Linked DNA regions of Schizosaccharomyces pombe. Changing the gene in region 2 together with the main gene of any one other region gives a genetic interaction. Each region holds a gene or a part of one and is shown on either strand. Other genes may lie near its edges.

Region 1 (3,600 bases), 4.3 Mb from region 2:
TGGAATAGTAGGCATTATGTCAATTTAAGGAATATTACCAAAGCTGGTATCTTAAAATTACGTATTATACAGATGGCTTAACAGACTATTATCCGCTACATAGCGTTACTGAAAAAAGTTTTATTGGGATCATCTTTTGGGCTTCCAAACTTATCCTTCTCCATTTCTTTATCATGGCAAAAGATAAAAAAGACCATAAGCATAGTGGAAGCACCGAAGATGAGTATGATTCATATCTTCCTGCTTTAATGCCAATTGCTAAGCCTTTAGCTCCTAAAAAATTGAACAAAAAAATGATGAAGACTGTCAAGAAGGCTTCGAAGCAGAAACACATCCTTCGTGGGGTCAAAGAGGTTGTAAAGGCTGTTAGAAAAGGAGAGAAGGGTCTTGTAATTCTTGCTGGTGATATTTCTCCCATGGATGTTATATCTCATATTCCAGTATTATGTGAAGACAATAATGTCCCTTACTTATATACTGTTTCCAAAGAGTTGCTTGGTGAAGCATCAAACACCAAGAGACCTACTAGCTGTGTTATGATTGTTCCCGGTGGAAAAAAGAAGGACATGTCTAAAGTTGAGGAGTACAAGGAAAGCTACGAGGAAATTATAAAAGAAGTACCTGCTCTTGAAGTTTAATTGTTCAATATCTAAAAGATGCTTAGCCATTTAATGTAGATTATTATATACTATTAAAATTTGGTATTTATCCTGGGATTTAACTTTTGGTATATCATGTCTGTTTGCTTGATAGTAAGCGAAAAGAAGTTTTGCTTAATGGTCGGTTTTAAGGTTTCAAAAAATTTCCTTTTTAATCTAGTGTTTTATCATTCTTTCTTATGCCCTAGTATTTTATGGGTTTAGACTGGTTTGCGAGCAAACTAATCACTATACCTCCAAAACTTTGTTAGCAATAATATCGTATCATTTACCAACTTATATGAGAATGGTATATCGCTGTAACAGCGATGAAATATCAACTGATTTTTCCTCAAATTTCGTTTACGCTGATCGTTTCATTACGGATTTAGCCTGTGTTTATTTCTAACTAGTTGCGCAAAAAAGTTTTATTATTCGTTTAGGTTGCTATTTAGTATTCAGAGGCGGCGTGTTAGAACCAGTTTACAACTAACTTAAATTTCACCCAACGTCGTTCTTACCATTATAATGTTTACAAATATTATGCTTTCCAGTGCTATCCATAAATGATAGATTAGGGTAGCTTTAAAGGTCCGGCAATTATATGGTTATCTATCCGGATTTTGTTATCGGATTTAAATATATTTGCTAAAACAAATCGAATTTCAGATAAAAAAGTTGGGTTGTATTTGTATGAGCAAAAAGTATTCTGTATGTTTATCATAAATTGATGTGCATTTTTACTTACTTTGTAAGATAATGATTATTGTTGTTTATTTACTATAGTGTTGCTAAAAGTTAATGTCTTTTTTTTTTTAATAAAGAGAAAAGATTAAATGTCAACATAACGTTGTGTATAGTTTAGAATCCACTTTTGTCTTCATTTGTTTCGCACCCCACATATTTTCTTGTGCATTATCATCCCTTCTATTTACAAGGACCACCAACACCCAGGTACACAATTTAGAACTCAACCATTACGGGTTTGACGAATATAGACGAGATTCGCAATTACTTGTCTGATGGATTACCAAGATGATGGGCTTGGTGAAATGATTGAGTTTTTGGAGGGTATGCATGAAGTTTAACTCAAATATCTCGTAAAATTGATTAACATGTTAAATAGACAAGTTATACTACACATCATTGTCGCAACCACCTAAAGCCGAGTTATATCCTCATATGCATTTTTTTACTATCGATGATGAATTGATCTACAACCCTTTTTATCATGACTTTGGTCCGCTGAACGTGAGTCATCTTATTAGATTTGCAGTGATAGTTCATGGTATCATGGGAAAACACAGACAAGCTAAGAAAAGCAAGGCTATAGTTTTATATTCTTCTACAGATACAAGGTTGCGTGCAAATGCCGCTTGTTTGTTAGCTTGCTACATGGTGTTAGTACAAAACTGGCCTCCACATCTCGCATTAGCCCCTTTAGCTCAGGCAGAACCTCCTTTTTTGGGGTTTAGAGATGCGGGATATGCTGTTTCAGATTACTATATCACGATTCAAGATTGTGTTTACGGACTGTGGAGAGCACGAGAGAGCAGCATACTAAATATACGTAATATCGATGTTCATGACTATGAAACTTATGAAAGAGTGGAGAATGGAGATTTTAATTGGATATCTCCTAAGTTTATAGCATTTGCAAGTCCTATTCAGGCTGGTTGGAATCATGCGAGCACACGTCCAAAGAAACTTCCTCAACCGTTTGCGATAGTTCTCGATTATTTCGTCGCTAATAAGGTCAAACTGATAGTTAGGCTTAATGGACCTCTTTACGATAAAAAGACTTTTGAAAATGTTGGAATTCGACATAAAGAGATGTATTTTGAGGATGGCACAGTTCCAGAGCTTTCTCTTGTCAAAGAGTTTATTGACCTTACCGAGGAAGTAGAAGAAGACGGTGTGATTGCTGTTCATTGCAAAGCAGGGCTCGGACGTACTGGATGCTTAATTGGCGCATATTTAATATACAAACATTGTTTTACTGCTAATGAAGTTATTGCTTACATGAGAATAATGCGTCCTGGAATGGTTGTAGGTCCACAACAGCATTGGTTACATATTAATCAAGTTCATTTCCGTGCATATTTTTACGAAAAGGCGATGGGAAGAGCAATCCAACAGGCCACCGCTGCGGAACCCTTAGCTACTCCTCCTCGCCATCCATTGAATGCTACGAATGGTACCTCTCAAAGCAATATCAGTACTCCTCTTCCAGAACCAACGCCTGGCCAACCGAGAAAAGTTTCTGGACATAATCCACCGTCGGCGAGACGTCTCCCTTCAGCGTCCTCTGTCAAATTTAATGAGAAACTTAAAAATGCTTCCAAGCAATCAATCCAAAATGAGAACAAAGCGTCATACAGTAGTTACGAAGATTCAGAAATACAAAATGATGATGAAACACGGACTGTTGGAACTCCAACTGAAACAATTTCAGTGGTTCGCTTGCGTCGCTCATCAAGTCAAAGCAATATCGAACCAAATGGAGTTCGTTCTCCGACATCCTCACCAACTGGTAGTCCAATTCGACGTACAAGTGGAAATAGGTGGTCTAGTGGGTCTAGTCATTCTAAAAAAAGTGCTCAGCGAAGTGTTAGCATGTCATCACTTAACAATACTTCTAATGGCCGTGTTGCTAAACCTAAGCCTTCTAAAAGCCGGCTAATTTCTTAATAAACCTGTAATTACTGGTTTAAATGGCAGTTTTTACATTCCTTTTTTTCATATAAACTAACTTTGAATTATACTGTGTCAACCCTGCATAATTTTTCATTAATTAACTTTACAAATATTCCCTGATTTAGCGCACCTTTGCGCGGTGGGGATCACCACCATTAATGTCTTAGCTATCCTTTTTGTTAACTAACATTCATATTTCTTTGGAAAAAACTTTGGCTTTTTGCAAGCCATGGTTAATGATTTTAATCGAGAAATTGTTTTGGTT
Region 2 (3,600 bases):
CATCGGAGAAGGGGACCTAACTTTCAAGCTAGGAAAGGCAATATCTTTATTTATCTTGGGTAACATATCAATAGGTTTAATGGGTGAAGCTTGAAAAAGATCATCTAAAGAATTATCATTGCAAGCACCAAAATCACTGTTGGGACGTTGAATAGAGGCAGCGTCTTCAACAAGTTCAACAGAGCTTTCTGGTAAATCAGCAACCTTGCCCATCGTAAATGTATCCTCATGATCAGACATTAATTCGAAATCATCCGTATCATCAGTAAGACAACTTTCAAGTAAGCTGGTCGTGTTGCTCGACTGACTACAGGTACGGGATAAGGCATAAGTCAAATGGCGGGTAGCTTGTCCACCAGAAGTTCCCTTCTTTTTGTTAATGGAATATGAGGAACTCGATCTGGATCGCAAAAATGGGGGTGCGTTGCCTGATGATCGAGAACGTGAGACGTTAGGACGAAGGTAGGAATCAAAAGAAGAACTCGATAATGACGAACGAGTAGCTTCGCTTTTGGTGGTGTTTAATGCGATTGATGCTTTAGGCTTAAAGCTGTAAGCAATAGTGCTGGAAACACGTGGGGAATCTTGGGTAATGGAATACTTCGATGCAGGTTGCCGGAAGAAGTAGGACTCGGTTAAAGCGTCATTCGAGGGTGACTCCGGGAGAGGTGAAACAATAGTCTTGTTAGCGAGAGGGGTTTCTACAGTACAAGAAAGAGATCGAAAGAGCGTACGACGAGGAGTCGGTAAGGCAGGGCTTTCATCGATATGCATGTTCATTGACATATCAGCAGCTAAGGAAGATGCAGGTGAAGCTGTCGAACAAGTTTTTCCAAAAGGATCCACTAATGTTGAGGCAATGTGTTTGGATTTCGGGAAGAAAAAATCCAGCTCTTGATTTGCATTGCGATCCGACATCAACTTTAATTCACGGGCAGCAGGACGCAATACATTCCGTTTGCCAGATAGAGTGTTGGTAAAGGAAAGTGAAGAAAGCGGAGAATCCATTTTAGTTGAGGTTTAACTATTATTAAAAGCAGACAAAATGGTAAATTTAATTTAAACCAAGTACACTGCAAAAAGAACTAATGGGACGACACGACTGCAAAAGATTGAGTTTCAGAATGAGAAATCAATAGAGCAAGTAAGATAAATTATAAAGGAAAATCCTAGGGAAGAGTCAAAAGACCGGTTTAAGATATTAATGCCAAAGTGAGACAAAAAGAAAACTAAAAGAAAGACAGGATGAAAGCAATATAGCCAAATATTAAACAAAACCAACCTTTACAAAAGAAACCGGAAAGAAGTTTAAGTAAGTTTAGACTCCACACGACGGGAAGACCGAATAAAAGTATATAAAAAAAAAGAGATTAATGAGACAAAAATAGATGAGCACCAACGGTCACGACTATAATATAGAATATAAAAGATACTGTCGTTGAAAGAAAAAATGAAAGAAAAAAGAAAGTTAAAAGAAAGCAGTTGATTAATATGAAAACAACAGAATACCCAAAAGTTCAGACTCAAAGTTCGTTACAAGTAATAAACCCCCCACTTTACCATATAAAGGCTTCTTGAACAAATAACTTCAAGAATCCTATTAATTGCCTTAAAAAGCGTAAGCAATTGTATTATAGACGTTTCAAAAAATCACTGAACCAGCAGTTAGTACTTGAGAAGCATCAACAGGAATCCAACTTGAGGAGAGAAGGATGCCCGAAACTAACAGGCATCAAGTTCTTTTTAAACTTACAACTTTGGTATTCTTAAGAATAATATTTTCAATGTAATACACTTGATCTAAAGGAGAAGAGCTTGAAGCGCTGTAGATAGTTGAGGGTAGAGAGAAATCTCAGCTCTGCCTCCGAGAGGAAAAAAAAGCAAAGGTAACAACAACAATAAAACACCAACCAACAAATTCGAGTAACAGAAAACAATAATAAAAACAAATACATGATTAAAGCAAAGTTAAACTGTAAGCTGTAATACTTAGCCAACACCTCAGCCATGACAACTATTGTTGTATAGTTTAGTTGCGTAGATAATGCCGTTTCAAGCTACAATATGTCACCTCTTAATCTATTAATTATATAAAAGCAAATAATCATTTCATTAACAACATTGAACTAGATGAAAACACATAAATTTTTGCATCTTGTATGTTTGTTTACATGTCCATACATCTCAGCTATTCGATCCACCGCAGTTTGTCTGATTTGTTGCCCTAGCAACGCCAAATGTTGTGTATGTGTAAACAAATACATAAGAACAAACGTCAGGTAACCTGCTTGACAGCCATTAAATCCCCATAATCTCATACCCGCACTCCTGATATGTAACACGAGCAGCGAGATAAAATATGTTATCAGGTGTTAGCGAATAATCGTAACACGATGAATCTCTCTACTTCGGGACTCGGACTGTCATTCCGAATTGGAAAACGAGGGTGTAACTCATTGAAAGTCTCCCGATGTTATGTAGCTATGGGTTGATACCATTATTGTCGTAGTAGGCATATTTCGCAAGATAGTATAGCCAGTTGTCTTGTTAAACTCGGATATCTTCAACAAAGATACCGCTATTATTACACTTCAACATACAAAATATAACAAAACTCTAACCTTTATTTAAAGTATTCTAGCAATCAGAGGCAGATATCGTATCCACAGAAACACTAGAGCAAAAAAGAAAATATTTTATCAGGTGGAGCACCTTTTTGTAAAAACGCCCTGATACGTGATTAGTAGACAAAGAAAAGTGTAACCATAAAAATTGCTGGAACAAATTGTACGCAAAAAGATGGAGTATGAAACAAATAAAAAGTGCAGTATAAAACAGTTTGTCGAACACTTCGTGGAGTTCAGTGACACAAAATCAAATGAGTATCCGTAAAACCTAAAAACAATGAGTGGACTTAATTCTTAAGATGCTCGGCAAGAATATCAGAAGTGAGGGCCTTGCCTTTGGCTTCAAGAGCACTGACCAATGCAGCACCTACGCCACTACCGTCTTCGGCGGGGATGGTAACAACTTTGCTGCCAATTTCCTCACCAAGGATATCCTTAAATGCTTGAGCAAGACGATCCTTAAAACGAGGGTATAAGTTGTAGACACTACCATCAGTACCTACAATCATAGATGGCTTATTCATTTTACGAACAAGGGCGCATACACCACACGCAGAAAGACGGGCAGAACGAGTTCCAATCAATTCGCATGCACGACGAATGAATTGACGCTCTTCTTCGGTGGTCTTGAGACCATAGGTTTCCTCAAATAGGGTTTGAGTTTCATCAAGGTTCTCAAAGGGGTCAACTTCAATAGCGCTGAGCACAGAGGTATCCATGGCCAAGGGGTCACGAATCTTGGTAACGTCCTGACCGTTAAAGAGAGCTCCCTGTTCATAAAGGTCAAGAAGAATACGACGCAAGATATCACCCAAATAGCATCCAGCAATCATTTTCTCGTACGTTTGAAGACCGGGTCTGGGAGACTCTTCATCAATAGCAACATCGTATTTGGTACGAGGAAGGACAACATGCTGGTTGTCAAAATCGCACCATTCACAGTTGATGATCATGTTCATATCTTCAGGGAAGT

The links. Genes that interact genetically often act in the same process or in processes that back each other up.
Region 1: of cdc25 (region 2) and clp1, changing one enhances a phenotype caused by changing the other (phenotypic enhancement), as found in Schizosaccharomyces pombe (4 studies listed by BioGRID, with this or other methods).

Annotation. Positions count from the first base shown.
Region 1 is NC_003424.3:4,769,720-4,773,319, reverse strand, and holds clp1 (Cdc14 family protein phosphatase Clp1), read left to right. Parts: upstream 1-1,603; 5' UTR 1,604-1,660; coding exon 1,661-1,709; exon of another isoform or gene 1,710-1,764; coding exon 1,765-3,329; downstream 3,330-3,600. Other genes in the region: box H/ACA snoRNP complex subunit Nhp2, read left to right, coding at 174-638. UniProt on the Schizosaccharomyces pombe protein: Protein phosphatase which antagonizes mitotic cyclin-dependent kinase cdc2, the inactivation of which is essential for exit from mitosis. To access its substrates, is released from nucleolar sequestration during mitosis.
Region 2 is NC_003424.3:480,533-484,132, forward strand, and holds the start of cdc25 (protein tyrosine phosphatase (M phase inducer) Cdc25), read right to left. Parts: upstream 1,842-3,600; 5' UTR 1,754-1,841; exon of another isoform or gene 1,654-1,753; 5' UTR 1,009-1,653; coding exon 1-1,008. Other genes in the region: hxk1 (hexokinase 1), read right to left, coding at 2,915-3,600.